Linked DNA regions of Canis lupus familiaris. The protein of the gene in region 1 purifies or fractionates together with the protein of each later gene. This does not show direct contact. Links are inferred from orthologs where the notes say so. Each region holds a gene or a part of one and is shown on either strand. Other genes may lie near its edges.

What was found.
Region 2: the proteins of PPP2R2A (region 1) and CDCA4 purify together in Homo sapiens (affinity purification with mass spectrometry; 4 studies listed by BioGRID and IntAct, with this or other methods). This does not show direct contact. The link is inferred for Canis lupus familiaris from reciprocal best matches to the Homo sapiens genes PPP2R2A and CDCA4.

What each region holds. Positions count from the first base shown.
Region 1 is NC_049246.1:31,374,958-31,378,987, reverse strand, and holds part of PPP2R2A (serine/threonine-protein phosphatase 2A 55 kDa regulatory subunit B alpha isoform), read left to right. Parts: intron 1-249; coding exon 250-427; intron 428-1,526; coding exon 1,527-1,691; intron 1,692-2,844; coding exon 2,845-3,014; intron 3,015-4,030. UniProt on the Homo sapiens protein: Substrate-recognition subunit of protein phosphatase 2A (PP2A) that plays a key role in cell cycle by controlling mitosis entry and exit. Involved in chromosome clustering during late mitosis by mediating dephosphorylation of MKI67.
Region 2 is NC_049229.1:72,872,023-72,876,496, reverse strand, and holds the start of CDCA4 (cell division cycle-associated protein 4), read left to right. Parts: upstream 1-1,592; 5' UTR 1,593-1,628; coding exon 1,629-1,949; intron 1,950-2,015; exon of another isoform or gene 2,016-2,326; coding exon of another isoform or gene 2,327-2,329; intron 2,330-4,474. UniProt on the Homo sapiens protein: May participate in the regulation of cell proliferation through the E2F/RB pathway. May be involved in molecular regulation of hematopoietic stem cells and progenitor cell lineage commitment and differentiation.

The sequences.
Region 1 (4,030 bases):
ATAGAAAGCACAGTAAATCCTAATAGTATTCCTATCAATAAAAGAAATCAATAAATTGACCAAATTACTAATTTTTCTCCCTCATTTTAACATTTTAAGGATCAGCATCAGTTGCTTTATAAAACTAAATCTGTGTAATATAGTACATTGTTACCTCAAAAACTAGGATAAAGAACTGAACTTTAAATGTGCTGTTGTAAATAGTGAGCATTTTGTAATGACCATTTTTTTCCTGTGTCTTATTGACAGGTGCCAGTCTTTAGGCCCATGGACCTAATGGTTGAGGCCAGTCCACGAAGAATATTTGCCAATGCTCATACATATCACATCAACTCAATTTCTATTAATAGTGATTATGAAACATATTTATCTGCAGACGATTTACGGATTAATCTTTGGCATCTGGAGATCACAGACAGGAGTTTTAGTATCCATTTGGTTTCTTTTTTTGGTGTTTGGTAAAGAAGGCATGTTGTGCCCATACTACATTTATTTTCATCTCTCCTTTTATTTATTCTCTTTATAGTAGCTTCTTACTTTATGCCCCTTTTTCTTTGTGTTTAAGTGACTAGACAGTGAGGGAAGTTCTTTGATAAAGAGCATAATGTATTAATAGGATTCTTAGTATTTTAAGTACTATTAGACTAAGTTTAGTACTTCATACTAAGTACTTTGCTATGATACCGTGTATATTAAATACTGTTATACCTATAAAAATAGGCATTTTTTTAATGGTTGAGTTTTTTATAAAACAAATTTATGGAGTACTATTCATTAAAAATGTAATTACAAAAATATTCTTAGTAGAGTTACCAAAGAAATTCATATCTGTTATGAAGTGTTTGCAGTTATTATTGCTAGTGTTACTGTTTTATGTATTTTTAAGTAGACATCATTTGAAAAATCAATAGTTTACTGTAATTTATACTCTATCCACAGTATCTAAAAGAGCTTGTTTCTGTGTAGCATTACCAGTCTAGTTAGTGGAAAGTCCTATTTACTAACCATTTATATATTTTTTTGTTCTTTTCTAGTTTTTTTAATTGGGTTTATATATATTCTTTTTTTTTGGTGGGGGGTAATTCTTTTAAAGCACCTTTTTTGTTATTAAATGAATCCACTCCTTTGTGGTGCAGATAGGTTCCCCTTTTTGCCCCCTTAAAGTTTTTTACTTTTGTTTTATTTGGAATGTACACTAAGTCCTATTAATATTTAGGAAAATAAACTTACCAGTCTTTTCCTTATGGCTTCTGAGATTTGTATCATACTCAGAAAAAAGGGCCCCTCTTTTAATTATTTTTTTTTTTTAGGCCCCTCTTATTTTAACATGATTTCTTCTGAGGTTTTTTTTTTCCCCAAGCATTAGAAGTTCTGATTCCTCTGGGATTTATACTCCTATAAGGAGTAGAATCCAATTCAGAATGAATATTTGTGTTTAAGTTTATGAATGAATTTTAGGTTTGAGAAATGTAGAATTATATTGCCCTTTTTCTTAAGTGGAAATTCCTTAATAAAATGCTATTCAGATATTGTGGATATCAAGCCTGCCAATATGGAAGAGCTAACTGAGGTGATTACGGCAGCAGAATTCCATCCAAACAGCTGCAACACGTTTGTATACAGCAGCAGTAAAGGAACTATTCGGTTATGTGACATGCGGGCCTCTGCCCTCTGTGATAGGCATTCTAAACGTAAGTATACTGTGTCTTTTTTTCAAGTGCTGTTTTCTGTTTTTGAAACTGTGACTAACTTAGATAGGTTTACAAGTCTAAAAACCTGTGTGCGCAGGGCCTCCTGTACCTTTTGGTAAGCTTTCTGACTCTACATGAGACATTGTATGTTATTCTACTGGAAGAACATAAAAGGCTTTCTTGGGAGCATGTCTGTTGATGTCTCAGTGGATATATTTTTATTTTTATTTATTTTTTTTTTATAAGAATTTTTTTTTAATTTTTTTTTAATTTTTTATTTATTTATGATAGTCACAGAGAGAGAGAGAGAGGCAGAGACACAGGCAGAGGGAGAAGCAGGCTCCATGCACCGGGAGCCCAATGTGGGACTCGATCCCGGGTTTCCGGGATCGCGCCCTGGGCCAAAGGCAGGCGCCAAACCGCTGCGCCACCCAGGGATCAAATGGAATGTTATTTTCGAGTAACTTGGGGTTGGGCTTTCCAGGTCTCAAGTAAAGTAGTTCTTTTCTTCCCTCCTAACCTCCCTTCTCTATTTTCCTCCCACCCTTTCTTTATTGCTTTCTGTTTTGAGCTTTCTAGGAAGACTTTTCTGAGAAGAGATTTCCTTGGTTTAAAAAAAAAAAAGTTTGAAAAAGCACTGGGTTAAAAAATTAAGGGGTTGCATTATTATTGTCTTCATGTTGTTGAGTATTTTTTAAATTCATGGAAATTGGTACATGTCTGTTACCAAAACAGTTCTACCTGGCCATAAAAAAAAAATAAAATGTAAAAATAAAATAAAATGTGGTATACATTTGGGTGGTGTGTTCCCTTGTGGTGACAGTACAGGCAAAGTCATTGAGGTATATACAGAACAAACCCAGTGCACTTTGAAGTCCGAAGTCCTGGATGTGCCTGGTTCTGCTAAATCAGCTGTAGGCCCCTGGAGCATACTATATATACTTTGTATCTTTGAAGTCAATGTTAAGTCATTCCCCTTAAGAAACTTACAGGGAGGTTATGTTCTTATAGTCAATGTTTTTCAGTTCTGTACTAGCCTATCATCTCTAGCTCACTCTTAGGAGGTTTGTGAATGGTTGTCTCAGCAAGGGCTTTGTTGAAGCCAGAATGTTCTACAACTTGTGTTTTTTTTTTTTTTTTTTCTTGTTTTTAGTGTTTGAAGAACCTGAAGATCCCAGTAACAGGTCTTTTTTTTCTGAAATCATCTCCTCGATTTCCGATGTAAAATTCAGCCATAGTGGTCGATATATGATGACTAGAGACTATTTGTCAGTCAAAATTTGGGACTTAAATATGGAAAACAGGCCTGTGGAAACATACCAGGTATTTATAGTTTTTTCTTTCAATTAGCATATACCCTATTTACTTCTAAGTCTTTATAGAGGAGGATTTTGTACTATGCATTAATCCCAATACTGCATGGTTGACCCTTAGGCTTTTTCTATAATTTGTGTTGTCTCTTCAGTTAAAGTGTGATATTGCTACCAGTTTGGTTCAATATTGACCATTTTTTCCCCCACCACTGTCTACATTAATTTTTTTTTTTTTTTAGATTTTATTTATTTATTCTTGAGAGACACAGGCAGAGGGGGAGAAGCAGGCTTACTGCAAGGATCCCGATGTGGGACTTGTCCCTGATCCTGGGATCATGCCTTGAGCCAAAGGCAGACGCTCAACCACTGAGCTACCCAGACTCCCTATCTACATTACATTTAAAATGAGGAGGGAAAGTACTCTCATAAGGTCTAGGTGGGGAAGAGAATTAGGGAGAATGGCCAGTCCTAGTAGAGATGTCCTGGTTGGAATATGTGGAATAGTTGAACTAGAGCTTATTAATCTTGGCATGCCCAGTGAAATAGACTGGCATTCTGCCTTTTGGCTCTTAAGCTAAAGGAGAAGAGCTTGAAAGCCCAGAGGATGGCTTGAGTTGTTTAGCTGTCGGTTGTAGAATGTTAGTTCAGCCAGCCACACTACCATTGATTCCCCTATCCTTTTCTTCTGGAAAAGAGAATAAAGAATAAAGACATGCACAGCCAGGGACAGGAGCCCAGGTGGGGGCAAACAGAAGCCTGAGGTAAGCCCTAGACTACAGTGTAGAAGACACTTGAACACTGTGTAAGAATACAGAATTTATAAATGGTATCTTCTTTATGTTGTGTGTTTTCCATAAAATAAGAATGATGTTTCTCAAACTTTTTAATCCTCTTTGACAAACGTAAACTACTTAAGACTCTACCTTAATGGTATTTGAAAGTTTAAAATAAGTGCTATGTTGAAACAAAAGCCAAAGGGATACATCCTGCTTTGTTTTCAAATTACATTTGTGTAACTTCCAAGAT
Region 2 (4,474 bases), on another chromosome or scaffold:
CAACCCCCCCACTGCACATTCCCCGGGAACCCCAGGGCTCCTGTCTCCAGCCTGGGACTCCCCCCACTTCGCTGTCTGCACAGGGTGCCCCGCACTTCCCACCCTGGGTGGGGTGCAGGGGCCTGATGTCTTCAGCCCCATCAGCAGACAGCAGGGCGCAGGGGCCCTCACCCAGGACTGCGGCCCAGCCTGCGCTCAGGCAACGTTGCGTCAATTCATGCCGTCAGGATCTCGTGCTCTATTTAAGACGTTTTTCCACTAAGAAATTATTTTTACAAAACCTCCCCTGCTTTGCACTTTTAGGGTTTCGTTTCTTGCATGTAAACTAGGAAGTACTGGGACGCCTGGTGGCTCAGCAGTTGGGCACCTGCCTTCGGCCCAGGGCGTGATCCTGGAGCCCCGGATCGAGTCCCACATCGGGCTCCCGGTGCATGGAGCCTGCCTCTCTCTGTCTCTCATGAATAAACAAAACAAAACAAACTAGGAAGTACTTGTGGTCCTAGGCTGTCCGCGAGCCGCTGCCCCCCCTCCTCTTCCCTCCCGCCCACCGCTCTGACTCCTACCTGCACCCCTCTTCTCAGGGCCCCTCTCCCCTCCTCCTCGCCCCTCCATCTCATTTCCTCCCCTCCATCCCCCTCCTCTCCTGCCCTCCCTTCCCCTCCCTCCCGTCCTCTCCCCTCCCTGTCCTTTCCCTCTCCTCCTCTCCCCTCCCCTCCCCCTTTCCCCCTCCCTGCCCTCCCCTGCCTTACCCTCCCCCTCCTGCCCTCCCCTCCTCCTCCTTTCCCCTCTCTCCCTCCCCCCCTCCCCTTTTCCCTTCCTCTCCTCCCTTTCCCCCTCCTCCCTCCCCATCCTCTCCCCTCCCCTCCCCTCCGTTTCCCCCTCCCCCTGCCTCCCCTTCCCTCCTTGCCCTCCCCCCCTCCTCGTCCTCCCCTCTCCTCCCTTTCCCCCTCCTTCCCTCCCCGTCCTCTCCCCTCCTCTCCCTTCCCCTGCCCTCTGCCCCCTCCCCCCCCCCGCTCCTGCGCAGGCGCGCCGGGGCCGCGCGCGGAGACCTGGGAGCGGGCGGGGCGGGCGGGGGTGTGGCCAGCGCCGGGCCCCAACGGCCGACGCGTCCGCGCGGGAAGTCTCGCGCCAGGCCCCGCCCGCGGTTTGAACCGGAGGCCCCGCCCCCGCGCTCGGCCAATCAGCGTGCGGGGCGGCCGGCGCCTGGCGACCCTTTGTGGGCGCGGAGCGGCCCCGCCCCCCGCGGCCCCGCCCCTCGGTCGGCGGCGGGCTCGGGCTCGGGCTCGGGCTCGGGCTCGGGCGGGGACGGCGGGGACGGCGGGGACGGCGGCGGCCAGGTGAGCGGCGGGCGGGCGCCCCGGGTCGGGTCGGGGGCGGGTCGGGGGCGGGTCGGGGGGGCCCGCGGCCCGGGGGTCGCCGCGCGGCCCGGCCCTGCCCTCCCGCCGAGCCCACCTGCGCGCCGGCTCCTTGTCCTTTGTGTCCCGGCCTCACCGCTTCGAGGGGCCTCGGGGCGCGGGTGCTGCGGGCCGGGCCGGGCCGGGCCGGGCCGGGGCGGGGCGGGGGCGGTCAGCGGCCCGGGGCACGGACTTTCTGGGCAAGTTTTGCCGTGTTTTCCACCCGAAGCGGAAATGCAGGATGCAAAGTCCCGCTTTAGCATCTCCCGAGAAGGAACCGTGTCTCGGAAGGGCGCCAGGAAGTGTCCCCCAGCGTCCGGACCGGGTTTCCAGGCCCAGACACTGTATTTCACCCCAGGCCCAGGAGCAGCAGCCGCGGCAGACGCCCCGCGGGGACCCCAGGCCCTTCTGCAGCCGCCCTGCCTGCCGGTCTTCTGGGATGACATATTTCGGAGACCGCCTGAGCGTGTGACCGAAGCGTTCACGTTATTTTGCCTGAAAGACCTGAGTCAGGAGCGAGCTTGCGGGTGGCTGAAGGTCGTAGGGATGCGCCAGGTCAGGGCCGAGGCTGCCCCAGGCCCCCCAGGCTCTGCCGGCAGCCTGGGCTGCTGGGCACATACGGGAGAGCCGCTGCAGGACGGGGAGGTCCCCTTTGTCTTGGGGGCGCCCTGACGGATGGGCACAGCACCCCCCAGGCCCCACCCGCCACGCGGGACCCCTCCCGTGATCTCTGCTCCATCAGCCCTTGGTCTGGAGGCTGCTGTGCTCTGACCTAGGGCTGAACACCCATGGCCTGCTTGTCCCCTGACGTTGGAGGGTTTGGAGCAAAACACCCTTAACCTTGAGGAGGTGATGGGATTGAACTCCGCAGGACCCTCTGGCCGCGTGTGGGGGGATGGAGGTAATACCAGCGCTTTCTTGTTCAGAACTGAATGGTGAGTCTGGGTCTGCAGTTAGGGCAGCCTGGGAAGCGTGGGGTCTTGTGTGCTGATTTCGAAACGTCCAGCCCCAGGCCACTGTCACGGGCTGCCCCAGGAGCTGTAACTTGGACCAGCCCGGCCCCGGGGGTCTGTGTGCCCACCTCGCGCTGACTTTGTTGTGAACACGACTGTGTGGGGAGGGTGAGGCTCTCCGGCCCCCTTCAGCCTGACGCATCACCTCCACACAGGCTCTGGGACCCTCCATCGGCTCCTGGAATTGGATGTGCTGCCCTCCGGCTACTCCTTCTGAAATCCTAATCGGCTAGCGCTTGCTGGTCCCGAGCGTAACAAAAATTAACAGTTGTTCAGGGGTTGGAACATCAGAAGGGAATAATTAGAGTGACTTTGAACACATACTTGTCCTGGCATGCCGAGTGAGATCCAGCGCTTAGTGATGCGCGGGAGGCACTACCTAAAATGGTTTCAATTTAAATGAATGTGGTAGCCTCCCCCGTCAACTGGATTCTGTATTTTTCTTTGTAACCAAGGTATCATTTAGTTAATACAATGCAGTGGGCAGTTAGTAGTTGTGCAGTTGTGTGAATCTGACCAGGACCATGCACCTGTCTAGATAGGGTGCATTTCCATCATCCTGGAGACCTCCAGACCATCCCTGCCCCTCCGTTGGCAACCATTCTGCTATTTTACACCTTAGGTTAGCTTTACCTCTTCTCGAAGTTCATGTGAACAGAATTATAGGGTACCTGTTTCTTTGTTCTTGCTTTGTGATTAGGCGTGGTGTCCGAGGTTTGCTCTCGTTCCGTAGATCAGCGTGAACTTTGTTGCTGGATCGTGTTTGGTTGTCAGACATACCACAGCTTACATGTTTGACTTGCTTATTTTGAATCTGAAAATAATGTTTACACCCGGGGTGGTGAACTGGGTTTGTGGCAGGAGTATGGAGCAGGGATAATGGGTGAAGTGGTGGTGGTTGGGGGGACTTGCCAGCAAATGTGAGGAAGTCCATACAGAAAATCCTGGTGGAGAGTGAATTGATTCTGCTTCTTAGAAAGCAGCTTGATAATGTGGATCATGTGCCTGTCAATAAAGCCCCAGGTCGGAACCGAGCATCACTGTAACTGAGGAGATTGTGAGTGGTACAAATGCAGGGAGTAAGGCTCAGTTCCTGCGCTGTGTTTATCCTGAGGGTCGGCTTTTGCTGACATGGAAAATGCAGTAACCAAGAACAGCTCGCAGTGAGCTCTCATGCAGAGAGGAGGCTGCTTAGGGAGATGCTGGGAAGAACCTGTGTGGTGACTGCTTCTCTGATGAGTCGGCCACGGTGATTTTTGTCTTGTACTTTCTGATGTTCTTCCCAATTATGTACAGTAAGCTGCGGAAACAGGGGAAGGCGCCTGCATGAGAAGAGCAAAGGCTGTTATTGGAAGTGGCTGCCACCAGGGATTGGGCCACCTTCTGGCTTGCAGAAAGACACTTGGGGACAGGCAGGGGAGTCGGACTGGAAGGGCTTCCAGGGCCCCTGATGGGGTTGCAGCCTGAGGAGCCAGCCGCCCTGGTGGCTTTGTGGGGGGAGCACGTTTGGATTTCTCTAGGAGGTGGGGACAGATACTAGGAAAGCTGTCTGTTATTGATGAAGTCCAGACCCTTGAGGGTGATTGTTACAAAAGTCATTGGTTTCCTGGCCTGTCATGGAGATAGAAGTTTGACTTCCTGGGCCGTGTTAACCTTGAAAATGAAAGTTTGTTATTTCACTAGCAAAAAATGGGTTTATTTGGGAATAACAATAGCAGTTCAGGGCGTAAAAATTAGTAAAACGATGCCTTTTAGAATGGCATCAGGAGGCGGGCAGGAGGAGCACTCACTCCCACCACTCACTGACCGCTGCAGACCCCACAGGAAGGTGCGCCCCTTGCTCCTGAACACACTGCTACCTTCCCAGCAGGACAAAGGAAGGTTTTCTCCTGCCCTGGCAACAGCCCAGCCAATGGGAGACTGTCCCGGCCCAGCCAATGACAGATGGTAAACCGGCGTGAGGCTGCTGTGGATCCGAGGAAGCGGAGGGTGGCGAGGGCGGGGGGGAGCCGGGGGTACCCTGGGCACATTCTGGTGCTCGCTGTGGCCCCCGCCTCTCCTCTGGGC